Stegostoma tigrinum: one gene and its partner. The protein of the gene in region 1 interacts with the protein of each later gene in a pairwise test. Links are inferred from orthologs where the notes say so. Each region holds a gene or a part of one and is shown on either strand. Other genes may lie near its edges.

Region 1 (11,087 bases):
CAGATGATCCAGCTTTAATCATATTGCCGCTTGTGGGAGCTCATGGTGCGCAGTGACTGTGGGTTTCCTATGCTGTAACCATGACTACACTCGAAGTACTTCATCAGCAGTAAAGTGCTGTGGTTATAGATGGTGCTACATAAATGCTAAGGAATAGTAAGAACTGCCAATGCTGGAGTCTGAGTCAACAGAGTGTGGATCTGGAGGAACACAGCAGACCAGGCAGCATCAGAGGAGCAGGAAAGCTGATGTTTCGAGTCAGGGCCCTTCTTCAGAAATTGGGGAAGGGGAAAGAGGGCTCTGAAATAAATAAATGGAGAGAGAATGGGCTGGGGCAGGTAGGTGGGACGGTGATAGGTGAATGCAAGCAGATCGTGGTGGGGATTGGTCAGTGAGGTGGGAGAAAAGACAGACAGGTCAAGGACATAAATGCAAGTTATTTCTGACAGTTTGTAGATTCACCAACTGAACAGGTCATCACAGATTCACATCCAACCTACTACATTTCAGGGTGTTGTTAACCAGCAAGCTCCCAGACTGGTTTCCCCTCCCTAACCCAGAACATGGCGTCCTATTGAGATAGGACTTCTGTCACATCCAAAGAATGTGCTGCACTCACTGACTAATCAAAGCTAAAACATTTGAGCCTCAGTCACTGACAGACTTTAAACCATAATCAATAAAACAGCAGTTTCTGAATATGCTGGTTCAGCACCAAAACAGCCAGAGCTGAACTAACTGGATGTTTAATTGGGAGAGACGGGAATTGAGGGGTATGGGGACAAGGGAGAGGGGAAACTCACGCAGACCGAAAGGATTGACATAGACCATTTCAACCTTCAAGGCCTGTTTGTGTGATCGCCCTTACGTTATCCTGTGGACTTTCTCAAGTGAGCTCAACAATCTTTCCCAATCCTATGTGCAAGATCACACATTCATTTACCTGAATTCATCAACGTTAACTCTCAGAGGCAAGAACTGGTGGCCATCCTCTCTCCCTCCCCTCCCCTCTCAAAACCCATCAATCCTCTCTCTTTGCAACCGTTCCTCATCTCATTGTGACAACATGTGGAGTGAAGCACTGGATAACAGGACTGCTACTGGCAAAAGATGGAAAGTGGCATTCCAGAGGGATCAGCGATGTAGATTCTGGAGCACAATTTCAAAATGTGCAGACGTAACCAAAACTGAGGAGAATAGTTAATATGGAGGAGAAATACAAGATAATGTGGAAACACATTAAGAAATTTGCAGATTGTCCCTGTAATGGCAAATAAATTTTAACATGATGCAAGGTGATACATTTTGATAGGAAGAATAAAGAAGACACAAACTTTGGTAATTAAGAATTTAAACAGGAAACAGAAGGATCTAGTCATATAGGGATACAAGTCACTAAAGTTAGGAACTCAGGTTGAATTGAAAGCAGAGTATAGCATTAAACTTGTACTAAATTTGGGTTAGACAACTTGGAGCACTGCAAACAGTTCTGGTCCTCAGATTATAAATAGGATAAGGGAACACTGGATCTGGTGGTTACTACAATTGAGAGCCTGTCAGGGAACATTGAATTATTCCTTTTTATAAAAAAAGACAATAGAGGAACAATTGTTATAAGTCTTTAAAATTTTGCTCAGTTTTGGTAGGATTGACAGCGAGTGGATATTTCCCTTCAAGTAAAAGCCCAAAAGAACTGTGAACGCAGAAAACAGAAGTTGCTGGGAAAGCTCAGTCAGTCTGGCAGCATCTGTGATGAGAAATCTGTGTTAACACTCTGGGTCCGGTGAGCCGTCCCCAGAAGTTCTGAGGAAGGGTCACCTGACCTGAAGTGTTAACTCTGATTTCTCTTCACAGGTATTTCCTCTTATTGGGTACACCGGAACTAAACGAGATAGTCACCAATAATGGGAATTCAGGCAAAATATCTTTACATAGAGTAATGAGAAAATGGAACTCTTTACCACATGAAGTAGTTAAGGGAAGTAACATTTAAAAGAGAAATTAGAGAAACGACATGGAGGAGAAAACAATGGTGTTGATAGGGAGAAATCAATGGGTGGGAGGAATTGAAAATACCAATCATGAACAGCTATTGCTTGCATGTGGCAAAACATGGGTCAGTCAGGATTGGGCTGATACATGGCAAATAACATTTGTGCCACCCAAATGCCTAGCAACTATTATCTAAAACAGTGGCTCAAGACAGTCCACCATCACCTGCCCAAGGACAATGAGGGATGGACACCCACATCCCGTGAACAAATGATAAAATGGATAACTGACCGACCACCCTTGACATCCATCTTTCTTCCCCAACTATAAATAACCTGGAAGTCATCATGGACCTGAAACTGAACTGGACCATTCATCTAAATACTGCGGCTAGAAAAGCAGGTCAGAGACTGGGAACCATGTGAAGAGTAACTCATCTCCTGACTCCTCAGAGCTGATGAGACACAAGTCAGGAGTGTGACGGGATACTCCCGACTTCCCAGGATGGCTGCAGCTCCAACAACACTCAAGAAGCTCGACACCATCCAGGACAAAGCAGACTGCCTAAATGGCACCACACCTCCAGAGCGTGCTCCCTCCGCCAACGATACTCAGTAGCAACAGGGTGTACTATCGACAAGATGCACTGCAGAAAGTCACCAAGGCTCCTTCGACAGCAGCGTCTAAAGCATAATCTCCACCCCCTCAAAGCATAATGGCAGTAGATAAATGGGAACACCACCAAGTTCCCCTCCAAATCTCTCACAATCCTGATTTGGAACTAATTTGCTGCCACATCGTTCACTGTTCCTGAGTCAAAGCCCTGAGACATCACCAGCAAACAGTGCTAAACCACCATGGATCGCAACCATTCAAACAGGCAGTTTGCCAACACCCTCTCCGGGACTATTAGGGATGGCCTGGTCTTGCCAGCAATGCTCTCATCCCGTGAAAGGGTCAAAGGAAGTTGGGCCAAATGGCCTGTATCATGCCCTAAATACAATGTACTACCTACTGAAACTGTAGCCCACCTGACAATGCCTTCAGATAGAGGAGCAAGACAACACACAGACACATTAATAAACACCCCACGCCCGCCCACCCCCTTAAAGTCTGCTATACAGATATTTGACCAAAAACAATGACGACAAAAAAGTACAAATCCCAGTGAAACCTCTGCAACGGATTTGGTCCTGCGATTTCTCAAGTGGGGGGGGTGGGGGGGAAGCAGCCTGTGAGTAAATGGATAGCCATTTTAAACGAGCTTGCGCAGGCAGGACGGGCTGAAAGGGCTCTCTTTGTGCTATGATTACAGGGAGAAACAATTGCACGTATCTCCGGTTCAGCGGATACACCCAAATACAAAGCTCTCAGAACACCCCCCACCCTGAGCTCACCCAGCAACAGCCTTGATTAATGTTCTGTTAAAACTGGGTTGGTCAAGGTGAGCCTCAGTAAAGATACATCTCTCAATTGCTATTCTCAGCTCCTGCACTGCGGATTACAGCAAGGAGGGTACAAAAAAAAGGGAACGCACATACACAAACAGGTTTTTTTTTATCGGTTTCTCCCCGCAAAGCTCTGCAGGAGAGAAACTGGGCTCGGAGAAAATTGTAAGGACCAACACTTCCCCCCTCCCCACCAGACAGAAACGTCGAAATCCAGCAGTTGTAACTATTCAATGTCCCATTCATCCGTGAGGACTGGGAAGCGCCTGTGTAACGCGGGGGGGGGGGGGGGGGGGGGTGGGGGGGCTTTAAACACAAATCGTTTCTTTTTGTTTGGAAGAAATTGCAAAATACGTGTGTGTGTGTTTCTCACATTAGTTAACAGCAAACAAAACGGACACTGAGACATTGATAATGGGACATAGCATTTAAACAAAAACAAACTGGCCTGGGGAGGGAGGGAGGGTGGCCAGAGGACTGAGGGGGCATTTCCTGCTCTTCACCAACCCCCGCCCCCAACAAACATGCACTTGGGAGAAGTTTGGAAACTCGATCGCTCCCAACTTAAAAAGAGCCAAATCCTGAAACAACACAGAGAACAGAGAGAGCTAACCCTTTCTATCCTGGCAAGGAAAGACTAAAATACATTTTTCCCTTCGCTGCAACAGAAGCACCAGCACACACGAGATAGCAGCGAAGAAAAACTTTTCTTACAACTTTTAAAGAAGATAATTGGGAAAATTGCTAAAAGAAAAGGACTTTCTCAGCTCGTTTCTCAATGGAAGTGAATCGGAAACGCTCGCTTTTTTTCATTCTTCCCAAATACAACACGACTAGCGTCTTTTTTAATAAAAAAAATCCCCGCCATCAGCATCTCCAGGATCTCTCAGGTTATATCTTTTAAAAAGTAACACTCACCCAAAGCTCCGAACCCCACTCCATGATTTTTAACTTCGCCTTTAATTCAGGCTGGGAAGAAACAAACGAGAGAATTGATCAGCAGACTCTATGTTAATTTCTTTCTCCTCTCACTTGGTCCCGTCTCTTGTTCTATTTGGAATTTGATTGCAGAAACTCCTCTCTATATGAATGAGGTGCCTGGCATCCTTCAAAGTGTAAACATTTCTCCAGCCCCTGGTTAATTCTGAGCCACGACTTTCCCTGCGCTGCGCAATCCCGCGTCACCACTCCGCCTCTGTAAAAGCTCAACGGCGCCTCACTGCAGTTTTGCAGAACATAGCAAGCGCTCAGTCTGCAGCAAGGTGTGTATGACTGGTTTTGTTAAAGGGAACACCCCCACTACAATGCATACTGCTCTTTTACAAAACATAGCAAGCACCCTAGATAATAGTGTGAAGCTGGGTGAACACAGCAGGCCCAGCAGCATCTCAGGAGCACGAAAGCTGACGTTTCGGGCCTAGACCCTTCATCAGAGGGTCTAGGTCATCAGAGGATGAAGGGTCTAGGCCCGAAACGTCAGCTTTTGTGCTCCTGAGATGCTGCTGGGCCTGCTGTGTTCATCCAGCTTCACACTTTATTATCTTGGATTCTCCAGCATCTGCAGTCCCCATTATCTCTGATAGCAAGCACCCTGTCTGCACTCACTCTGCAGCAAGGCGTACATAGCTGGTGCTGTTAAAGGGAACACCATCACATTGAGAAACAACAAATCACAGCCAAACAGCATTCAGGAGAGGCGGCAAGCTAACGTTTCGAGACAAAAAGAACTGCAGATGCTGGAATCCAAAGTAGGTGAACTGGAGGCTGGAAGAAGACAGCAGGCCAGGCAGCATCTGGAGGAAAGGAGCAGTCAACGTTTTGGGTATTCTGAAGAAGGGTAATTACCAGAAAAACTAATGTTTCGAGTCTAGATGACATTTCATCAGAGCATCTTAAGCTCTAATGAAGAGTCATCCATACTCATCACGTTAGCTTGCTACTTGACCTGTTGAGATCTCCAGCATTTGTTGTTTTCAGTAGAGATTCCAGCTTCTGCAGTAATTTGCTCCCTTACTACACTATACTGCTGCAGTTTAGAAAACACAGCAAGCACCCTCACCGCACATAGCCTACAGCTAGGTGTGCAGGCTAGCACTGTTAAAGGGGCAAAGTATAGTATTCTTGGTCAAAAACAGGAATCGCTGGAGAAACTCAGCAGGCCTGGCAGCTCCTGTAGAGAGAGAAAACAGAGTTAATGGTTTTGAGTCCAGTATGTCAAACCAGAGACACTGAGATCTGTTCACAGATACTGCCAGACCTGCTGAGTTTCTCCAGCAATTTCTAATTTCATTTCAGATCTTCACCGTTCATGCTCCTTTGTTTTATTATAGTACTTTTGGTCTCTGGCAGCATCTGTGGAGAGAGAAACAGAGTCAATATTCTGAGCTTGGTGTGAATCTTCTCCAAAAGAGTCAAATCAGAGACAGTGATGCTGCCAAACCCACTGAGTTTCTCCATCACTCTTTGTATTTATTTCAGATTTCGAGCAACTGCAGTATTTTACTTCTTGATCTCATTGAGTTAATGTTTACATGGTCTGGTGCGGTAAGGAAAATTCAGCTTCACTTCAGAAATATTAAGAGGAGACAATGGCCTAATGGTATTATTGCTAGAGTGGTAATCCAAAGAGCCAGATAACATCCTACTGACCCAGGTTTGAATCCTGCCACAGCAGCTGGTGGAATTTGAATTCAATAGAATCTCTAGAATTAAGAATCTAATAATGACCATGAACTTGTTGTTGGGGAAAAACCCTGTCTGGTTCACTAATGCCCTTCAGGGAAAGAAACTGCTATTCTTAACATTTTCTGAGGAAGGATCACCAGACCCGAACCATGAACTTGTTTTTTTCTTTCACAGATGCTGCCAGACCTGCTGAGCCACTTCAGCAAATTCGTTTTACTGTTCTTAACTGGTCTGGCCTACATGTGGGTCCAGACCCATCGCCATGTGGTTGACTGTGAGGACTAAATGCTGTCTAGTCAGCAGTGCCCTCATCCTGTGAATGAATAAAGGGGGAAAGAAATTATTGCGGCTTCATCTGGCCTGGAGACTGCACGGCTTAAGAGGAGCTAATGCCCTAGTGGCATTTTCACGTGTAATGGTAAAGTTGTTACAGTCCTATTGGACCATAGGGCTGCTGTCTCATTGGAGAGAGATAACTGATAGTGGTTTAACATGAGGGTCACTGCACCCTCAGGTCAGGGGAGAGGGTGAGAAGGAAAATCTGTTATGCTAATCCTAGCTGGTGCAGGAATTGAACCCATACTGTTGGCATCGCTCTGGATTGCAAACCATCCGGTTAACTGACCTTACCTCTTCCCCCCCCCACCAACCTAATAATCTACAAGGCAGTTGATGAATGAAAACTGGATGTATTTTTGTTCCTCAGCTGACAGGTTTAGAGATAATTTCTCTACATTTATTTGAATGAAAGCAGTCGGCAAATGGACAGAGATTCACACAGGTGGTTTTGGGCAAGATCAGGGAATTTCAGGAAGGATGTGGAGAACAGAAGATGGCCCGGGGTTGGGACGGGTAAATGCAGACCGAGAGTGAGCATTCTGGTGGCACCAAGTTTGGTGAGAACGTGTGAGGGAAGAAGCCAAGATTTACTGCAACTAATTTTGGTTCTCAACAGAACCGGTGCATGTCAAAACTCTGCAGTGTATCCTTTGGAGAAGTACTGAGGGCTTCAGGAGGGAATGATATGTTCTGTTACTTCCATTGGCTTTGAGAATGCCCAAAAGCCCTGCAAATTTCTACCTTGTGTTCCTTTGTGATTGAATCACAAAATGCTCGAACCAAGATTTATCAGGTAATAGAGATGTCAAATGGACTGTTGACCTGTATTTGAAAGGGATAAAGTATAAAGATAGGGGAAGTCTTGCTAAAACTATACAAGGCATTAATCAGACCACATCTGAAATACTGTGAACAACTTTAGTACCCTTAGCTAAGGAAAGCTTTACTAGCGTTGGAGTCATACAGAGAAGGTTCACTTGGAATGATGGAATTTTGTTATGAGGAGGTTGTGTTTATATCCGTTGGGGTTTAGAAAGACAAAAAGAGACCTAATTAAAACATAAAAGATTCTTAAGGGTCTTGGTGGGGTAGATATGAAAAAGTTGTTTGATTATTCCATAGAATCCATCCAGTGTGGAAACAGGCCCTTTGGCCCAACAAGTCCTTAGGGCATCCCACCCAGACCCATTCCCTAAACCTATTTAATCAACTTATCCATGGACACTATTGGCAATTTAGCCTGGCCAATCCACCCTAACCTGCATACCTTTGGACTGTGGGAGGAAACCGGAGCACATAGAGGAAAGATGCAGACGTGGAGAGAATGTGCAAACTCCACACAGACAGTTGCCTGAGGCTGGAATTGAACCAAGGTGCCTGGTGCTGTGTGGCAGCAGGGCTAACTGCTGAGCCACCATGCTGCCCCCTTTCCTCTTGGGAGAGAGTCTAAGACCAGAGGGCATCGTCCAAGAGAAAAGTTGCACATTTAAAACAGAGATGAGGAGGAATTTTTTTCTCACAAGGGCTCACTAATCTGTGGAATTATTTACCACAGAAGGCTGTTGAGGCTGAGTCACTAAGTATATTGAAGGCTGAGAAAGGCAGATTTTTAATTTGGAGTTTAGGATGATCAGATCAGCTTTTATCTCATCAAACAGCAGAGCAGATTCGATGGGCGAATTGGCCTACTTCTGCCCCTGCGTTTTATGGTCCCTCTAGAAAGTCACCATTGGATCTGCTTCCACAACCTTTTCAAGCTTGTCCATCCCATTTCATGATGACAGACTGCAGTAAAATAAAAGTCTCATATGCCTTCTGCATGTTTTTTCAGTTATCTGAAAACTGGATCCTCTGAATATTGATCCTCCTGCTGGTGGCACCAGATTCTTTTTGATACTTTCCGTAAAATAAATGGCACCCATGTCGTATTTGTAACATCAGGCCACCCTGAAGTCATTCACTATGGCATTGTATGTTTGAAACGTGATCATTGTGGTCATCAATTTGTACACAGCAAGCTCCCATAAGTCAGTCTGAGATAAATGACCAGATACAGTTTTACTCATAGTGATCAAGCGTCAAATATGCAGAGAAAACAGTAGGAATCTTGTTTGAGAACATATCCTCAGATCCCAGCGTTGCAGACTTTAAACTGTGTTTTGTGCATTATGTGAGAGCAAACATCTATTGTTATCAGTTGTAACCAATATGCCAGTTCTCAGTTTAATCTAATCAGTGGCATTCCAATTTTTATTAGCAATGAAGAATATTGGGTAGGTCAGATAGAATATATTTTCTTAACCTTAAAGCGGGGCTGATTTGATTCTATTGCCCTCTGTGTGGTAGAAATCCTACAATGACTTTTCTCTTAAATGTTCAGTGTGGGTTAGGAGTGGTTTATAAAGGTCAACCAAAGTATCATTGAGAGGTATAGTCTGTATAAGCGATATCTCGTCAGCATGGACAAGTTGGACTAAATGGCCTGTTCCTGTGTTGTATATCTTTATGACCCTATGACTGGAACAGATAACCTCACACCTGTGCGGCCATAATTCCACAAAGAATTTCTTTGACATGTGCAGACATGTTAAACATTTTTGCAACGGTTTTGTACAGACCTCTTATATGTTTGGGGGAGGAAGACACTCACAATATCCCTGTGCGCACACTCACTGCCCTGTACAAATTCATCAATGATAGTCAGCCTGATACCGAAAGTGTGTCTAGTGAGTGCAGTGGTGCTGACTCTGCATATCTTTAAGCGGGAACTGGATAAGCTGGGGCAGATACTATAAAACCATAAGACAGAAGAGTGAAATGAAGCCATTTGGCCCATCAAGCCTGCTCCACCATTTGATCATGCCTGATATGTTTTTGAGCTGCATTCTCCTGCCATCTCCCCATAACCTTCAATTTGTTTACTACTCAAGAACCTGTTTATCACTGTCTTAAATACACTTAATAACTTAGTACACTGTGGGTAATAAGTTCCACAGATTCATCACCCTCTGGCTGAAGAAATTCCTCCTCATCTCAATTCTGAAGGGTTGTCCCTTCGTTGTGAAGCTATGTCCTCGGGTTCTAGTATCTACTACTAGCGGCAACATTTTCTCCATGGCAACTCCATGCAAATCTCTCAGTATTCAGTATGTTTCAATGAGATCACCTCTCATTCTTCTAAACTCCACTGACTATAGGCCAAGTGTCCTCAATCACTCCTCATATGACAAACCCTTCATCCCTGGCATCATTCTGGTAAACCTCCTCTGGACCCCCTCCAATGCCAGTACATCTTTCCTTAGATGTATGGTCCAAAACTGCTCACAATATTCCAAATGCAGTCTGATCAGTGCCTTATTCAGCCTTGTCCTTGTGTTCTAACCCCCTTGAAATGAATGTAAACCTTGCATTTGCTTTTGTAACTGCCTACTGAACCTGCATGTTAATCTTAAGGGAACCTTGAACTGGGATTCCTAATTCACTTAGTTCTTCAGATTTCTAAAGTCTGTATCCTTTTGGAAAATAGTCTCTGCCTGTATTCTTCCTACCAAAGTAAAATACCTCATACTTTCCCAATTTATACCTAACATCATACTTCTTCACATTATATTCCCTCTGCCACTTCTTTGCCCACTCTCCTGAAAAAGTCCTTCTGCTGTCTCCCTATTTCCTCAACACTACCCGTCTCTTATCAGTGTGTCATCAGCAAACTTAGCAACAATGCTCTCAGTTCCTTTGTCCAGATCGTTAATGTATACTGTAAATAGTTGTGGTCCCAACGCTGACCCCTGCAAAGCTCCACTCTTCACCAGCTGCCATCCTGAGAAAGATCCCTTTATCCCCTCTCTCTACCTTCTGCCAGTCAGCCAATCCTCTATCAATGCCAGTACCTTGCCCGTAACGCAATGGGGCTTTTATCTTACTTTGCAGCCTCCTGTGTGGCACATTGTCAAAGGCCTCTGGAAATCCAAATCAATCATGTTCACTTCTACACCTGCCCCTACACTTCCCCCATCACCCCCATCCCAGGCCCCAAGAAAACGTTCCACATTAAACAAATGTTCACCTGCACACCCGCTAATGTGGTATATTGTATCCGCTGTTCCCGATGTGGCCTCCTCTTCATCGGGGAAACCAAGTGCAGGCTCAGAGACTGCTTGTGGAGCACGTACTCTCGGTTTGTGACAAAAGACAACACCTCCCAGTCGTGAACCACTTCAGCTCCCTCTCCCGCTCCTTGGATGACATGTCCATCCTGGGCCTCCTCCAGTGCCACAATGATGCCACTCCAAGTGGAAGGAACAGCACCTCATTTTCCACTTGGGAACCCTGCATCCCAATGGTCTCAATGTGGACTTTACAAGCGTCAAAATCTCCCCACCCCCCGACCTCATCCCAAGATCAGCTCATCTCGCCCCTGCCTCCTTGACCTGTCCATCTTTTCTCCCACCTATCCACTCCTCACACCTCACTGACCGACCCCCACCCCCACAACCTAACTGCTAGCCTCATGCCCCCTTAACCTGTCTGTCTTCCCTCCCACCTACCTGCCCCTCCCTCCTCACTGACCAACCCCAATTCCAACCCCCTACCTACACTCACCTTTACTGGCTTCATCCCCAC
Region 2 (10,298 bases), on another chromosome or scaffold:
AAAGATACAATTCTGTAGCAGATGAAGAAGCACAGGGGCCTCTGGGTGTATTTGCAAAATTTGTTTAATGTAGCCAGGTGCGTAAAGAAAGCAATTAAGAAGATATTTGGGAACCTGTGCTTTATAAATGAAGATGTAGAATGCAAAAGTAAGAAAGTTAGAGTAAATATTTACAAAACACCAGTTTTACTTCAACAAAAATGTTGTGTTCTGTTCTATGGCATCTTTAAAGTTACAATTAATACACCATTGTATTTGATCTTGTTCGTAAGTACGAGAGCTGATAAGTTGAAAGTTGGTAATTTGGGGACTCCTTGTATACTATCTCCAATGCTGGATGCTCATCTCTTCTCATACATAGTATAGATGTAAAGGCATTGGAGAGAGTGTAGAAAAGATTTTACCAGAATGATTTCAGATTTGAGAAACTTCAGTTACATGGATAAATTGGTGAAGCTGGATTTTTTTTTCATATTTAAAATCAGACCAGATAGGGAACAAATGTCCTTATTGACAAAAGGGTTGAGAAGTAGAGGACACCAATTTGAGGTAATTGGCCAAAGAAGCAATGACAGCACCAAAGAACATGTCTTAATTTGGTGAGTGGTTAGGATTTGGAATGCACTGCCTTACAATGTAGTAGAGGCAGATTCAGTCAAGACTTTCAAATGACTAATTATCTAAAGAGGAAACATTTGTGGGGATACAAATAAAGTGCAGGAGATTGGGATTAACTGCAGCACTTATAGATAGCAGGAATGGAATGACAGGTCAAATAGACTCCTGAGCTGTAACCATTCAAGCATTTCATGATTCATCACAAAGTGACATGGGATGCTTTTTTTTATTATATTAGAGGTACTTCTTCTAACTTCTTTCAAGAGATGTGGGAGTCACTGGCTAGGCTGCCATTTAAGGCTGATTCCTAATCGTACTTGAGAAGGTGGTGATGAGCCAACTTCTGGGCCTGCAGCAGTCCATGCAAGGTAGATACACCCATTGTGCTGTTACAAAAGGATTTCTAGCATTTTGATCCAGTTACAGTGAAGGAATGGCAGTATACTTCCAGGCCAGGGGCTGTATAGCCTGGAGGGGAACTTTGAGTTGGTGGTGTTCTTATGAATTCATTGTCCCTGTCCTTTTAGATAGTAGAAGTCATGGGCTTGGCAGGCTGTTGCTTGATTAGTCTGTGGGTCAGCTCTCTCAAATTTGGCACAAGTTCTGGAATATTGGTAAAGGAGAACTTTGCAGGCCAGGCAGGGCTGGGTGTTCAATTGTTGATTCTAGTGCTCAGGCTGATTTGTCTGTTTCAATTTTCATTCCTCTCAGCCCTATCCTTTTGGTTTGACACTGAGTGGCATACTAGATCATTTCAGATAGCATTTAAAGGTCAGTCATGTGTGTACATGAAATAAAGTCACCCTTTATTTACTTGTGCACAGTACACTGGCAACAATCAGCCAGCTCAGAGTCAAACCTCAACTAGGGAGACTCTAATCTCCTGGTTTTATTGGTTGGTTAAGGCATTCCTAATTGGTCCAGGTTAACAACCCCAATCAAGAATCTCATAGTTAATGAGGTCAACCTTGTCCCAATCACTACAGAATCCAAGATAACAAAGTGTAGAGCTGGATGAACACAGCAGGTCTTCCTGCTCCGATCATCCAGCTCTACACTTTGTTATCTAAGATTCTCCCGCATCTGCGGTTCCTACTATCTCTGAAACTACAGAATCCAGTTGGGATGATCACTAAAAGGCCAGACCAGGTGATGATGGGAGACTTCCTTTCCTAAAAGACATGAGTGAAACAGCTGGGCTTTTACAACAATGGTTTCATGGTCACCTAACTGCTGCAGGCTTCATATTCAGGTTAAGGACTGAATTTAAATTCAGCTGTGCTTTGGTATACTTGCCTTTATTAGTCTGTGCAGTGAGTATAGGAGTTGGAATGTCATGTTGTGGCTGTACAGGACATTGGTTCGGCCATTTTTGGAGTATTGCATGAAGTATTGATCTGCCTCTTATAGGAAGGATGTTGTGATTCACAAGCATGTTGCCAAGGTTGGAGGATTTTAGCCATAGGGAGAGGCTGAGTACAGTGGGGCTACAGATGGTTCTGCTATAACACAATTGTGGAGTTTTGGAGGCTGAGGGGTCACCTTTACAGAGATCTATGAAATCATGAAGGGCATGGATAGGGTAACTAGACAAGGTCTTTTCCCCAGGGTGGGAGAATCTAAAACCAGAGGGCATAAGTTTAAAGTGAGAAGATAAAGATGTAAAACGGACCTAAGGAGCAACATTTTCACAGAGGGTGGCGCGTGTACATAATGATCTGCCAGAGGAAGTGATGGAAGCTGGTATGATTACTACATTTAAAAGGCATCTGGGTGGGTATATGAATAAGAAGGGTTTAGAGGCATATGGGCCAAATACTGGCAAATGGGATTGGATTTGTATAGGATATCTGGTCAGCATAGACAAGTTGGACCAAAGGGTCTGTTTCTGTGCTGTATATCTCTATGGCTCTATGACTTAATGGGATGTGAATAGCTATTCCAGACTATTAGCCTGGGTTTTTGGATTGCTTGTCCAGTGACATTACCAGTGGACCACGCAGACACCGGACAATACGTAAAAGATCTGTCGAAGAAAGTTGAGGCCTTTGAAATGTGGACACCAAGCCATGTTTAAAATTCCCTATATAAATCCTAAGGCAAATGAAGTTCTTGAAATTGCAAGAGCTAAACAGAACTCCATTAATGGAAATGCACATATCTTTGCCATTTTATTGAATCCAAAAAACTACCACAATCTCTTTAAGAGGGCAAAGTACAGGGCAGTAAAAAAGCATTGACCTACATATAGTTGGAAGCCAAACGTCAGAAAATGGCTGAAGTGGATATATGAGGGTGGCACAAGACAGAGGAGTGTTACGTACTATCTCTTGTTAGGAGTAGCTACAGGACCAAGAATTTTATAAAATATGAACTTCCCTTGAACCATCGCTATCACTTTCAATCTCTTGGTGTCACCTGCCATTTATACCGACATGGATTGAGATTGTATACATAGGTTATTTATAAATGCCGGGAACAGGGGTTTTAACACACGCCCTTTGATCATGTGATCTTGGCTTGTTACAAATCAGTGTTCATGTTACATATACTACTGAGTACAGTCAACGATGTCATTTTCCTTGGTGACCAGAGTGTGGCTGAAAACTGTTTTAACAGGCTCGGAACAACTTGTACTCTGGAATTTCAGTCATAATTCTATGTGCTACCATTTAGTAACACCAGATGGCAGAAAAGGCAAATTTCATCATTTAACACAGAAGATAGGAGCAGGAGGAGGCTACTCAGCCCTTCTAGCCTGCTCCGCAATTCTTCATGATTATGGTTGATCATCCAACTCAACGGCCTAATCCTGCTTTCTCCCCATAACCTTTAATCTTATTCGCCCCAATAGCTATATTTGGTTGCCTCTTTAACACATTCAAAGTTTTGTCATCAACTACTTCCTGTAATGAATTCCACAGGGTCACCGCTCCTTGGGTGAAGAAATGCCTCCTCGTCTCCATCCTAAATTGTCTACCCTGAATCCTCATACTCTGACCCCTGGTTCTGGATGCACCTACCATTGGGAACATCCTCCATGCATCTACCCTGTCCAGTCCTGTTAGAATGTTATAAGTCTCTATGAGATCCCCTCATTCATCTGAACTCTAGCAAAAACAATCCCAACCTAGTCAATCTCTCCTCGTACATCAGACCCGCCAACCCTGGAATCAGCTTGGTAAACCTTTGCTGCACTCCCTCAAGAGCAAGAGCATCCTTCCTCAGAAAAGGATACCAAAATTATACACAATATTCCAGGTGTGGTCTCACCAAGGAAGAGGATTGACCAATGACAGGTCTTTTGGAATTCCAATTTTTATGAATGTGTAAAAACAATAAAATTTATTTCTTTCAAAATATTAACACAGAGATTTGTACATTAACTAACATTCATATGGTTATTGATGATGTCCAGCAAGCCATCAATGCTGAAAACTGGCCTTTCTTGAGGTTTTGGCATGTGTGCATTAACTTAACCCTGAGGAAATATAAAATCTGTTAAAGACCCTTTTAAGTAGAATAGTTGGAGAACACTGAACAATAACTGACATTGCCCCTGTTTGTGTGTGTTTTATTTTGTACATTAAGTGAGCTCCAAATACACTAACACAATTATTGAAATTGGAAACTGAAGTGAAGGAATCTGATGTATAGATAAATGCTTCATCTGCATAGGATAGATATCGTGCTTTGTCCTTTCCCATGCCTATCAACGTAGAAAGGTCATCGAAACTCTTTAGATGCATAGATAGGATGCATTCCATGGAAGAACCTTTTGCTTGAGTGGTGCCTTTTATGATCTAGAATATTTCAAAGTCTTCGCAGCTAACAATTTTTAAAAAAAATTTGCTTTTACTGCCATGAAGCAAAGATGACAACTGAAATATGCCAAATAAATCTTGACAAGAGCAATATGATGAATTACCCTTTTTCTCTCTGAAGATCATTATGTGGAATTCTCTTCCTCTAAAAGCAGTAGAGTTTGGATCATCGAACTTACTCAAGGCTGAATTAGATAGAACTTCTGACAGACAAGGAAATCAAGGGTTATGAGAGGTAAACAGTAAAGTGGAGTTGAGACCACAACCAGATCAGCAATGAAAGAGTACTTTTGAATGACTAAATGATGTTTTTTTTGGGAATGGTGATTGAAGAACAAACATTGGCCATTTGTATAGTCATTATGAGAATTCCCTGACCTTTTTTTGAAAAAGTATCAATGGACCCTTTATACTCACTTAAAAAGACAAATGGGATCACAGTTTAATGTTTAATTTGAAAGAAGGCAATTAAGCTGGCCCTGAGTTGTCTATTTCCCTATCAATATGCTGCTGAATTCCAAGAATCAGAGTGTGATCTAATAACCTTCTGGCTGAAACATGAGGATGCTTCCACTTACCAGGATAATATGGTTGTTTACACCAGAAGGTATTCTTATTGTTATATTTAAAATCTTCAGCTGGAATAGTTAGAATGGTTCATAATGTCCAAAGTTTTTTTTTAATCTCAGCAACGAAGTGATATAAAGGGTTTGTTTTTGGGAAGTAACTGAATGCTTGGAGATGGTTGTTTCTGGTATAGCAATAAACACATGCAGATTTTCTTGGGAAAGAAAGAATTCTGAAACATCCAAAAGACTTAAAGAAAACCCGAAACTCAGACAAATACAGTGTCTTGTCAGTCAGGCAAGTACATTCGAGGTCATATTCAGGTGTGGGATACAGAGGTGTGTTGACACAGGCAGTTTCTGGCTTACTCTTTGAACTTTCACTTTTACATTTGGAGTGCTCTGATTTTCACGAGTTGCAGGTCTGACTTATTAAAAGATGAAAAAGAAAATGCATTTACACACGATCTTCTCCATATTCTTGTGAGAGTTCAGAACAATGGGTGGCCTCTTGGCTCGTTAGTGAGACAAATGTGGACTGGGAGCTTTGAACTCCAGGAGTGACAATGAAACCCCCGACCGTCTTCGCCCGGTTTACTGCTTCTGTTGTTGTTGTTGTTGCCTCCGCCCCCTCCCCTCCCTTAGTAACGGAAGTGGGAGGTAGAGGCGCTTCCGGTTGGCCCTGAGTTGGGTGGCGGTGCAACCTTGTTGTGAGCTGGGCGGTTCAGAGCATCCCGGTGGAGACAGAGTCGGGGTGAGAGAGGGCTTACCGGGAGCCGGGGAGGACACAGGGGAAGGGGTGAGGGGGGCGTTTGCACAGCCTCGGGACAGCTGCGGGTGTTTGGCGCTGGGCGAAGAGGGAAAGCGCGAGTGTCCGCGCACGGACGGCCCCAGGATGTGCCCAGCGGCCTGGACACACTCGCTGTAAAAATCTACTCTTCAGGGCGAAACTTCCAAGCTAGCCGGCCCGGGAGAAACCATGAAGAAGCAGTTTAATCGGATGCGGCAGCTCGCCAACCAGACTGTGGGAAGGTAAGCACCGTCACCGGGAGCTCCCCAGAGGAGACAGATAGTTTGTTATTTTTTTGGGGGGTGGTGTTAGAGCGATCGGGTCTGAAACTCATCGGAGAACTCGTGGGAGTCACATCTGCAACTTTCTGAGACTGCTCGTTCCATTGATTTCCACTTTTAAAACAAAAGAAAAAGCTCCTGGTAAAGTTGTACCCAGGCCGCTTGCACCAAGGTAGTTTGGGTGCATCGGTTTCAATCTTGTCTCGAGCTCAAAGTTCCCCACCGGGCGGGGGCCAGACTACGACCTCAGCACAACTTTCGGAGTTGTCAGTTTCTGTTTACTGCGTTAACATTTTCTGTACGTCGTGCTGTGGCTTTATGTAAAGCAGTGAGGCGACGGCCGATGAAGTGTTGAGCGATTATTACCATGAATCTCCAGCATCTGCAGTTCCCATTATCTCCATTACCATGTCGGTAGCTTTCAATGCAAATCAGACTATTTTAGTAAAGTAGGTGGTTTGCCACTAGTGTAACTCGACCCTTAATTTGAGGTGTTTGGTCTGCTCTGTAAAACTGTCACAACTGGCGTTACTGAGAGTCCATCGGACGCTGCCTAAGCTCAAACTTGTGATCAACAACGAGTTTGCAACATCGAAAAACAGTTTTGCAGAAATTGGCGGAAGTGACCGCGGTACTGGATTTAATTACTTTAATTCACATGTTGCGGCGCACATTATGAGCGATATGGTTGGATAAGTACTTTCGATCCTCGAATATTGAAATAACAGGACTTTGGAATTAAACGTGCATTACAGGGCGCCCAGTACAAAGCTGACTCAACCCCGAGTTGAAGGGATCCACCATAGGTCACTAAACCCTTTTAGCAAACAACCTCTCTCTCCGCTCCAGACTGCTCGTTTGCCTATTCTTTGTTTCCGATCCCTTGCAGCGACCCAGTCAGATCGGATGCTTTCCTGTTTGTCAAATTAGTATTCTGGGGCATGTTTGCCTGACCACCATTTAGCTTCGTTTTGATTTGCCTTGTGATTTCAGATTTTGTTTTGTGCTCAGCAATTTCTCAACGGTGCCTATTTCATTGCTATTGGCGATGGAGTGCAGTACATTGACACTTCTATGGTACTGTTACTTTGCAATTTACAAAACTGAAGAGTTAAAATTGAAAAGAAAGACGATGCAAATTTGTTTTTTATTGTAAATGGAAATTGCTAGAAATACACCATTTTTGGTCAGTATTGTGAATATGTACCCTTAGAGTGTGTACTGGGAAATTAAATGCATCTTCCGACTATAAGTTGGCTCTCGCCCCTCGTTATGATACGTTCATGCTATTGGAAGGAGAAATAACCCAGTTGTGTGGGCGGTAATTGTTTATCCGGACTTAAACATAGTTAAGAAAAATCTGAAAAATTGAGGCTGACATCAAATGTTGTAAGTGTCGTAATAAACCTGAGATTATTTGATATATTTTGATATGTTTTATTGAAATATTAAATTGCATTGAGAATTTGTTTGTAGTAGTTACTAGTTAGCGTGAAATGCCTGTGGAGGTAACAAATCAATGAGAGCAGATCTGTTAACGTAGCATGTGCTTTTATGCCTATTTTGCAATTTAAGTTTCTCAATTTCCCTGGGAGAATTTGTTTCAATTATAACTGTGGATTGTGTGTTGGATATGTTGGTTCCATAACTTGAGACGAGGTCTTGTGCTGATGATTATTTTGTTAGGAAGATTGTCATGATGAAAAGCAACACAGTTATACACTTTAATGGTGGATTCTTCCTTAGGGGATGTGAAATGCACTAAATAATAGGCTTTTGCAACCTTGATGTGATTGAATATTTGTACTATTGATGGATAGACTAGTATTTCATCTGTGTCTTGAATTGATTAACCTTTTAAGGTCTGCCTTTCTGCAACGTACTGGCTGAGACGAAAGCATCTACTTGAGGTCTCAGCATGTTGGAAAATAGCAAACATGAAGGAACAATGAAGACAGAAAGCCAGAATATATATACCACTCAGGGAAAATGTTGGAAGCAGTTATTAAGAAGCTTATAGCGAGCGACTTCAAAACTCCCAATTCATTCTGGAAGAATCAGTATGATTTTGTGCAAAAGAAATCATGTTTAACTAATTTATTGCTTGTTGGCATTCTTTCAGAAAGTCATGTACCAGGACTATGATGTAGATAAAGGGGAACCTGTGGATGTATAATAAGACTTAGATTTCTGGAAAGCATTTGAGAAGGTGGCATATCAGAGATTACTCTGCAAAGTTAGATATCATGTTATATGGGGCAACACGTTAGCATAGATGGAAGATTGGTTTGCCAAGAGGAAACATTAGGGATAGATGGGTAATTTTCAATATGGCAAGATATGACAAGTTGAGTGCCACAGGGAATGGCGCTGGGGCCTCAGCTTTGAAAACTTCTCTGATTTATGTGAAGGATCCAAATATACAGTAGCTAAACTTGCTGATGACACAAAGGCAGGAAGGTAAGTTGAGAGGAGGAAATTAGGATCCTACAAAGGGATATATATAGGTTAAATGAGGGGGGGAATGACGGATGAGGTATAATTTAAGGAACTATGAACTTGTCCACTTTCCCAGAAAGAAGAGAACAGAAGCATATTATAGAGTCATAGAGCATGGAAACAGACCGTTCAATCCAACCAGTTCATATCGATCATTGCCCCAAACTAAACTAGTCCTCCCAACTGCCTGCATTGGCCCATATTCCGTCAAACATTTCTTATTCGTGTACTTATCGAAATGTTTTATAAATGTACCAACATTTGTATTGACTACTTCCACTGGAAGTTCATTCCACATATGAAGCGCACTCTGTTGTAAAATTATTTAAATAGAGATGTGGGGCATTTAACATCGTGTTCTCCCATTTTTAAGACTGAGATAGGGCGAAATCTTTTTCCCTGAAGGTCATGAACCTTGGAATTCTGTTTTCTGTAGAGATGAGTGGAAATAAGATATATGAATATTTCCTTGACTAGGAAGGGAGACAAAAATTGTCAGAGGGTAGACAAGAATGTGGAAATTGTACCAACACTGATCGTATTGAAGGCTGGTGCAGAATGGCCTATTCCTACTTCTAAGCTGCATGCAATAGACAGAACTAAGATTTCTCACGATGATTCTGATGAAAGATCTCAGTCTAGCTCCATGCAGTTGTGAATGTTGATGAAATAATTAACCAGTGAAGGAAACTCCACAAATATCTCCATTCTCAATGATGGAAGAGCCCAGTACATCAGTGCATAAGCTCAGGCTGATGTATTTGCTGCCATCTTCAGCCAGAACCACCGAATGTGATTTCTGCTTCTCTCAGCACCCCAGCAGCTTAGATGCCAGTCATTAATTTCTTTCAACACTCTCCATGGGATAACAAGGGACTGAAGGTTCTAGTTTCTACAAAGACTATGGTTCTTGAAACTTGCTAACTACTGCTGCAGTTTTGAGTACTAGGACTAGTCTCACCCCTAATCGATTTGTTTGAGAGCAACAATACTGGAATCAAGTGGCAGCTATTCAATTTTGAGTGGCATATACCCTCATGCTTCTCGGTCTTTGGCTACCTAGTGCTGACTGGGGAAGGCAGGTCAGAGGACTTTGCCATTGGACTGTTCCTAATGCTGGTTAAGATACCATTGATAGGTTCAGGTGACAGATGTTAAGAAGCTAGTTTAATCTCACTGCCTGTCTCTGTTCTGTGGCTATGTCTGTGTCCATGGAGAGACAGCACACAATGTTGGCTTGAAGCTTTCCATGCTCTGCGGTCTGTTGTGCCATATCAGCACTGGAAATCACATCTTTAAGATTTTATTGTAGTTAGTAGTGCATCTTTCACATGAGGACCTTAATTGGTTAATGATGCCAAAGGAGTATAATACTGTCATCTACCTGACAATAGGCAAAAGTTACCCACCTGTGCCCTGCCCTCGAGCAGGATAGTTCCAATCCAGCCATTTCTGCTCTTTCAGTCTACTCTCAATCATCAGCAAGTTGATGGACGGTATTTTTGACAATGCTATCACGTAGCACTTACTCAGATATAAGCTGTTACTTTGCAGTTGGTTTAGGCTGTGTCTGAGTCACTCAGCTCCTGACCTCAATACGTCCTTGATCCAAATATGGATAAGTGGCTGAACTCAAAAGGGGAGGCAAGAATCATTGTCCTTGATGTCGAGCCAGCGTTTAACATAATGTGATATCAAAGAAATCTTTCTTTTAAAAAAA

The links. The genes of interacting proteins can lie anywhere in the genome.
Region 2: the proteins of trip10a (region 1) and rho GTPase-activating protein 17-like interact in binary tests that used the Homo sapiens proteins (3 or more experiments, as listed by UniProt). The link is inferred for Stegostoma tigrinum from reciprocal best matches to the Homo sapiens genes TRIP10 and ARHGAP17.

Annotation. Positions count from the first base shown.
Region 1 is NC_081388.1:18,475,597-18,486,683, forward strand, and holds the start of trip10a (cdc42-interacting protein 4 homolog), read right to left. Parts: upstream 4,623-11,087; 5' UTR 4,383-4,622; coding exon 4,359-4,382; intron 1-4,358. UniProt on the Homo sapiens protein: Required for translocation of GLUT4 to the plasma membrane in response to insulin signaling. Required to coordinate membrane tubulation with reorganization of the actin cytoskeleton during endocytosis.
Region 2 is NC_081376.1:21,182,963-21,193,260, reverse strand, and holds the start of rho GTPase-activating protein 17-like, read left to right. Parts: upstream 1-5,668; 5' UTR 5,669-5,987; coding exon 5,988-6,040; intron 6,041-10,298. UniProt on the Homo sapiens protein: Rho GTPase-activating protein involved in the maintenance of tight junction by regulating the activity of CDC42, thereby playing a central role in apical polarity of epithelial cells.